Drosophila melanogaster: one gene and its partner. The protein of the gene in region 1 interacts with the protein of each later gene in a pairwise test. Each region holds a gene or a part of one and is shown in the gene's direction. Other genes may lie near its edges. The genes, in order: Cpr65Ec and CG15080.

Region 1 (3,204 bases):
GACAAAACCTCGAGGGGCAGGATGGTTAAGTATAGCGGAAGCGGCTTAAGGCAACCGGCAATGGCAAAGAGGAAACTCCAACGAATCGCAACAACTTTTGCTTTTCATTTAAAGCCGCCCAAGCGGCAGGCACCGGACAATTGTATTGGCCAAAAAAAAAAAGATTTATATATGTATATAAAGAAATGTACAGAAAAAATATATGCCCAATTGCCGGACAGCCGGTTTGGGGCATAAAAGCCGAAAGTAACACCAAAAAGGCCAGCAAAACAGAGGGCAGCCAACACAAGGCAGATAATGCTGCTCCCGATGCTGCTGCTTCTGCCTCCATGCGACATCGCCCCTCATCACATTCACTTTTCCCCCCAGCTCGGAATCAGATTCATTCCGAGCAGCAGACGCAGTCTGGTCTGGTCTGGTCCGGACTGGCCAGCCTAGTCGTTCCAGCCATGTACTTATGAAAGGCCAACACAAATCTTGTAAGGGAAACAGCGTGCGCTCTGCTCGTTGCCGCTAGCCGATGCCTTTTGGCCACTTTAGCGATGGCAGATTGACACCTTTAATATGGCCCACATAAAAAAGGGCAAGTTTGTTAATGGAAATATAAATTTTTATAATAGTTGTGGCATTTCTGGACTTGTGTTTAAAACACTTATAAATGTTTGCTGCCACTAAATTTAAGATACATTTTTTTAAAATATATATACTCTATATTGAAATATTTAATAAGGGCACAATATAGATATAGTAAAGATATTCAAAAAAAAATAATAATTTTCAAAAAAATGTACTTTCTTGACATCTTTAAATTCAAAATATGACAATATACTTTAGCACCTATATATGTATGTATATATTACGTGCTATTTAGGTGCTCTATTTTACTTTTCAAATACCCAGCCTAATTTACTGCCCAAATATCTAAGGTCATCAGACTTTCCGATTGAAACGAGGTTAAAGCCCCAATTTTCCCCCAAAAGCTTCGTGATCCCCGTGAGTCACGTCATCTTCGTCGTTGGTTCATCGCAAGTTTTCTTATCAAAACTTAATACAAACTCGCCGGCTTGGCTGTCGATAAGCTGTCGTACTTTCGGACAGTCTGCCAATATTGGTGGCAAGGTCGTTCGTCTGGCTTTTGCAGCAAGCTAAGGTTGCTTGCCACTTCGTCGGTTTCGGTTTTTTGGCTTTTCCATTTTTGGACGCGCTTGGTGATTTTGTAATAAATGGATGCGTTGACCCAGCATGTGAGGTTCTTAATCGATTTCGCCGATTCTACGAACGATTTATTATAAAGTTTCGCATATGATTTGGCAACGGGGACTAGGCGCAACATTTATAAATGATCCTGCCACAAAGCCAGGCGCTTTAAAATAATTTGCGAGTAATCGGGTTAACCATTTTATAAGGAAATAAAGCGATGGGGCAGCTACAAATTGCGCTAACCAAAACAACTTGCGGAGGTGTTAATGAAAAATTAACCCCTCGCCGCAGACACAAGAATTGATTAACCGGCTACCCACAAGTTGAACAAAAAGGAGCATAAAGTTTATGGGCAACAAAAAACTATCTCACACATACACCAACAGCACTAAAGCACTAAAATCAGCGAAGAGTCTCCAGCGGAGTCTTTAAGTGCCAGTGTGTGGGTATTTTTTCGTATCTGTGAGAGGGGCAGTTCAGGTTCAATGCTGCAAATTATACGCGTTTTTGCGGCGACTGCGAGTGCCCGGCCCAAAATGATTGGCGTGCCAAAATGCTATAAATGCCATGCCAGGCCAATTCGGTCATATTCATTCTCGTTGCGAGTTCACAGTGACAACAAGTCAGCCCCCAGCCCAATCACCAATTCACAAAAAAAAAAAAATGAACAAATTCGTGAGTTCAGGATTTTTTTGTTCGACCAGAAGGAAAACTCTTTCAACTACCATTATCCTTATCCGTCCACAGTTCGTCCTTGCCGTCGCCGCCCTGGCTGTTTCCTGTGTCCAGGCCGACTCCTTCGACGCCCGAGCCGAGACTCGCGAGTATAAGAGCGACCTGAAGGAGGATGGCAGCTATGCCTATCAGTACCAGACGTCCAATGGCATCGCTGGCCAGGAATCGGGCGTGGGTGGTTACTATGCCAGCGGCTCGAACGCCTACTACGCCCCCGATGGCCAGCTCATCCAGTTGACCTACACCGCCGACAGCAATGGCTACCACCCGGCCGGCGCCCATCTGCCCACACCTCCTCCAATCCCGGCTTCCATCCTGAAGTCACTGGAGTACATCCGCACCCATCCCCAGCAGGAGAGTCGCCAGGGTCAAGGACGATTCTAGATGGGCTTGCCACCACCACCATCACATGTTGAGCGTTATTCGAGCTAGTTTTAAGTCATTTGAAAATAAACTTTGTTTGAGCCATCAACCATTTCCATAAACAAGTCGAGACTGTTGTCGAATTTGGGTAGAGATTGCATTCGGGGGCAACGCAAGGATTTGCTAGTCCAAAATATCACACTCGTGATTTCGTTCTTACGAATAAGACATTTTCTTTAACTTACGTACTTCAAAGTCATGCATTTAGCACTGCATTTTATTAATAATTGTATTGCGACGTAGAGTGCATTTACGCTTGTACAAATTAAGTTTAATTTACAGTTTTACGCAATTTCAGTTGGCGTTTCATATGTGTTTTACTTACAATTTAAAGGATGCTTACTTCTTTTTTGGAGCATACAATTCTAAATTCAATTTGAATTCAAATTTTGGCGCCAATTTTCGGTTTGGTTGAAACCAGGGCTCCTAAAAAGTTTATGGTACTACAGTGAATGCTCATTGCCAGTAACAGCGAAACGCAGACGATAGAAAACTATCGATATCTATTTAACTCAGTTGATGAGTTTGGCGCGCCGTTTAAAATATTTGTGATCTATCAAGTTAAGCAAAACTAGAAAAATTACTGATTGTAAAAATGATTAGAATTAAATACAAAATATTAGAAACCTTATTAAATAGTACATTTTAATACTGTTGGTATCTCTTTATTTTTTTTTCGAAATGAAATCAAAATCATTAAAAATCGTATTTAAATTTGTACTATTGTTAATTGAAAGTTTGTATTACCGAAAAGGAACAACACTTTTGGCTGATCGTTTACGTACAGTATAAGTATTAATAATAAGTAACTAACTTTAAGCTGCTATATTTCCATAATATTGATAA
Region 2 (5,200 bases), on another chromosome or scaffold:
AGCGGCAAAAAGTTGTCTTACTTTCGTGAGCCTAAATGCATTTGGCTCTCGATGCGTCGACGCATCGACAATCCAGCTCTCTCCTTTCGATTGCATAAGTGATATTTATGTCTTCTTGTCAGCGTTGCATCAGCATCAGTTGCGAATCACAAGCGACGGTTTATCTGCACCTGGCCCAAAAGATTCTACGTCTAATTGGTCTGAATTATGCCATAAAAACATGTCCAATTAAGTTGATCTATTTTATGTCGGAGTGTGGGAAATATTCGTGTCGAATTTTATGCAAATCTCGTTACTCTTTTCCGCATACGTCGCGGAAAATGCGCAAAGAGCTTGGGAAAAGCCATTCATAAACAGGGGCCTGAAGGTCGCGATCTGTTACCTTTGCCATTTGGCAGCGCCACCTTGGGCGTGTGAGCCATTTCAGTGAGACACCTGTGAAAAGGTCAACGCTAATTGCCGTCCCCCAACCATTGGCTGCCAATTGAATTCGATTGAATTTGATTCTCTATCTGCGAGGCAGGTGAAAGTGCTTTGTTCTAGAAACAGAGTTGCAAGCCAACTAAATAACATTCAGCGGAAGTTCAAGACGCGAGTCGCGGTTGAATGATCTCCGAACGCCAAGAGATCCCGTCACATAACTTAGGCCATGAGGTGGAAACCTTCCTCGTACGTCATCAGTCCGCACATAACTCACGCCCACCTGAGGCGGCAGGTGAGGCACACGGACAGACAGGTGGGCAGGCGTTATGACAAGTTGACTGATTGGATTTGCGGCGACGATGTTGCTGCTCCTGTCAATGCACTCATCGCCCGTCGCAATTGCCGCTGGAAAATTGAAATTGAAAAAAAAATGCGATTGAAAAGCGTCCGAGCATCTCGTTTGGGTTACCCAATGCATAATGGATAATGGCGGACGCTGAACGATATGCTAATTAACTTGATTTCCACGATCCATAAACGTCTCACTTAGACAATTGTTTGCTTAACGGAAATTGTGCGGCTGCCGGCATGAGAATATTTTAATTGCCCCAAAAGAAGTTGAAAAAGACCTCTTTTTAAGGCCAATTCTAGCAGACCAAAGAAATATTTGGCAACAAGCTGAGCACAAAAATGTATTTTAAACACCAAAATATTATCTGGAAAATATTATAAAAAGATTTAAATATTTATTTCTACCTGCGCTACTTGATTGCAAACATTTCAACCACATATTTAATCCCAATTTCGCACTTTTTGTTATTATAGGTTTTATAAAGTTTGTAACCAATTTGTAACAAAAGAAATGCGGCAAAGGCCAGCGAAGAAAAAATGGTTTCTACGCGTTTTAATTGCTAAATGTCAATCGGTTTATAGGTTTCCTAACAAAACAAACAAAAATACGAGGAAACGCGTACGAGAGAAGAAAAAAAAACCAAAACAAACAATTCAATTAAACTCATAATGGAATTTGTGTAGCAAGAAAACGACCTTGGCTGCAGAGCAAAGCCTAAAAAGCCAATTAAAAGCTAGATGCACGGCTCGAATGCCACATGGCACTGAGTCAGAATTATGGAATTGTTGTTATGTCTGGCCATATAGCCGCACATATACACATATATCACATATATCAGCGAGGGGTGTAGCACGATTCATAAGACCCCCACACAGTCGGATCGATTTTCCCAGCAAATGTGGTAAAAACTTGTCGCCAGCAAAGATTGCAAAACTGGAACAGCATCGCCGCAACTAACGCTAAAACAAGTTAGCATTTATGGCCGACTTGATTTGCATTTAGTGCATTCTTGTGGACACTCCCCCTTGGCAAAACTCTATCCCCATCCCCGTTTTGTTAATTTCAATTAACCACAACAAATCATTGGAGGATCATTTTTAGCTAGGAGCTATACCGCTCTGTTTGACCAAGTCTTTTGTTGGCCCAAAAGCTGTTAAAGCCGCTTTAGTTGCGCCGTTAACGCTGACTGCGACTGCGCTGCCTACTGATCTGCTAACTGCTCGGCCAGCGTCGACTTCGACGGAGGCAGTTGGATGAAAACCACGAGCGAACCACTCTTACTTACTTTGGCCCGCGACGCTTTTCATTTCTTCAGTCTGTTAACGGCACGCCAACGATGCAGACGCGTCTAAAAACCAGCTCCGGCTAACTGTTAACGCAAGATAGTAATAACTTGATTTGTAAGTGTAACACTCATACGCATCGAGTATACGCACAGTGGTACCAACGACATTTGATTTTGCATCTTTTGCCGAAAGTGCGTGAGCTTCCTGACGTCTCAAGTGGATAAAGTCAAAGTGAATTTCAAGAAATCGAAAATATAATTAATATACAAAAATAAAAGTAAAACGCTTGAATTGCTGCTAATTTGGCGAGTTGGGCAAGTTAGGATCTTAATTAAATTAAGCCAAGTGAAAGAGAAACAACAGCTGCCGTTCAGGAAGAAGAAGAAGAAGCAATAGAGGAGAGTGGTAAGTGGGGTTTTTATTTTTTATTTATTTTATTTTTTTTTTTTTTTTGCCAAAAAAGGCGAATAGAAATTTCAGCTCTCCATTCAACTAACCACACACTCAACGCATTCGACTGTCTTGGCAATTTTGCTGTTTATTTTTTCATGCTCTAATTATTTGGAAATTTCATTTTGTTTTTGCCCACCGACACTCGTTAACTGGCATGCAATTTGTTTGCCCAAAGACTTATGGACCATACATCTAACCAAAACAACCGTCCATCCTCTAGAGAGTCAAGTTGAGTCAAGCTTTATGGGCAGACTTCCTCGTTAAAAGATAAGGTGGCCAGACCCCTGACCAAAAGAAAAGAAACTGGTCCATCAGTATTCTGTGGGTTCGTTTTGGGTTTTTCATCTACATCTCTAAGTCTATCTCCATTGCCACTTCATTAACCCAATTTTCACCTGGAGAAATTTTATGTTTCGTACAAGAAAAATCTTGTTTATCAGGCCAATTTGCATACAGACCCCACTTCCGAGGGCCAGACATTTCTCTTCCCTAATCTTCGATGTGGCATCTGATCTTTAACGGAACTAATGTGTACACTTATTCGTTTGTTTGTCATTTTAACATGAGGGCAAACAGAAGAGGGAAATCATAAATTACGCCGTAGCGTCTTATTCGTTTTATATATGTATTTCTTTATTTATATTTATGCGAACTTTGTTTTTTTTTTTATGTGCGAGCGGACAGCGTTTTCGAAATTAAATACTTTCTAATTACAATAAACGCAGGCGATGGCCGCCGGCCGGCCAATTGCCTGTCGCACGTCCAGCAAAGTCCATATCGTAGCCTTTGGCAACGGGCTGAAATCACGTAGCCGCCGCATCGGCCAATGCCAGCCGATATAAAAGAGGGATGGGTTGGCAGCGGAGTGGTGAGGGGGGAAGTGGCGAAACAAAACTCGCGAAAGTGTCAAGAAAATATAATACTGCTCAGACTCACTTTTTCTTTATTGTCATGTCTTAATGTGGCGCCTGATGTGTTTATTTGCCACTAGCCTCCTCCGCCGCCAATTCATATTCCTACCCCTCCCTCACCTTCCTCCGATGAAAGTGAAACGTGCGAATGACTTTGCGTAGCTGCAGAAGCTTCCATCACTCGTCACTTAGCACGTGCCCAGCGATCCTACCCGTGTGGTCTTCGTCTTTCACGGCTTTCAATTACTCAACCGCATAATGTTCAATTTGTCAAGCGTTGAGCCCGGATTACGACTTTCTCAGCGGGCCAAACAAAAGACTTAAGACACAAACTTGCTTCATTAGTTGGCTTTGTTCGATGGAATGCGTTGCAGATCCTAATGCGCACAAGTTTTGGTGTTGATTACTCACGAATTGAGAAATCAATGCAACCATACCTTTGTTTATATTACAACTTAAATTATCCCAGATGATTTAGCCATACCAAAGAGAATTTCAATTTCAAAGATCAATATCGAATATGCCCAGCGGTCTTTCAAAACCATAATTATCTCGCACTAGTGACACGCACTGAATTCTAAATGTGAGTAATTGCAATGCATTCAGCAATATCAGATTCAAAGTGCATTTAAGCGGAGGTAAAAACTAAAAAATCAATTCAAATGGCTTCCAGGCCGGGCATTTATTGCTGGTTCGCTGGAACTAAATCGTGATTTGCAGTTGCATGTACGGCCTCCGTAAGACCCCCTGATCCTCCTTCGGCACCCCTGGAATACCCACACAGTTGATTAGTCAGCACCCGGCTGGTAGAGCAAGGCAACCATTTGGGGCTTTTTGCTCCGTTTTGTCTCTGTGTTTTCCTTCTAGACCGACAAGTTGAAGTATCTTGGCCTACTGAATTTTTTCTCACACTCCGTGTCTTGGTCACGGATGTGGATTGATTGCTAATGTTCATCTGGGCACATATATATCTGTATATATGTATATATATCTATCTGCGGCAGGCGGTTTATGTGGATACCCTCGCCAAGTTGCCGAGTTGCACAAGTCTGGTTTGGTCTGGGCCAGAATGAGGCCCACACTCGAGACGTGGCCAACAAGTACGGGTACTTGTGGCTATACATTTGCCGAGCCACTCTTGCTTTCTTCAGCTGCTCCATTTGGCGGCTGCTTTGTTTTGTCAGCGCTTGCTTTATGGTTTTTCATATATATAGAGTAGCTACTAGCAGCTACCTTAAGTATTGCTCTGTTGCAATTGTCACATTGTTTTGGGACACTTTTCTGCGGCTCAGTGGCGACGACGACTGTGGCAATAGTTTTGTAATTAGCTTGGCCCATCATTTGCGCAATTCGATTTGCGATGTCCCAGGTGATAAGTGATATTTAAGGCACTAATTTCGCTTGTATCCGGTTATCCGGCTTTTATTACGAGTTGCGCAACCACAGCGCCCCCGCATACCAAAATGTCGAGGGAGAAATACTTTCGCTTTCAAATGCTCGAGCATAAATTCTTGGGATTACGCAAGCTAAATGCTTGCGGCATGTTTTGGTTTGCTGAGCAGGTGCCGCCAATACCAAACCAAAACCAAAAAGCCACCTCCACCAGCTAAACAGCCACTTACCTCATTTGGAAAGCAGCGAGAAATGAAAGTTTTTGTTTTTTCATTTTTCTGCGTTGCGTGAAATTTACATTTCGTTTAATAATTTCAAACATTTCTTCGAGGTCGCTGTGGCATAAAATTTGAGGAATTAGTCGAACAAGAAATCAGCGTTTT

Evidence for each region.
Region 2: the proteins of Cpr65Ec (region 1) and CG15080 interact in a two-hybrid assay, tested with the Drosophila melanogaster proteins (one large-scale study listed by BioGRID).

Annotation. Positions count from the first base shown.
Region 1 is NT_037436.4:7,091,421-7,094,624, forward strand, and holds Cpr65Ec (cuticular protein 65Ec), read left to right. Parts: upstream 1-1,783; 5' UTR 1,784-1,863; coding exon 1,864-1,875; intron 1,876-1,947; coding exon 1,948-2,319; 3' UTR 2,320-2,421; downstream 2,422-3,204.
Region 2 is NT_033778.4:18,781,213-18,786,412, forward strand, and holds the start of CG15080 (uncharacterized protein), read left to right. Parts: upstream 1-2,086; 5' UTR 2,087-2,466; intron 2,467-5,200.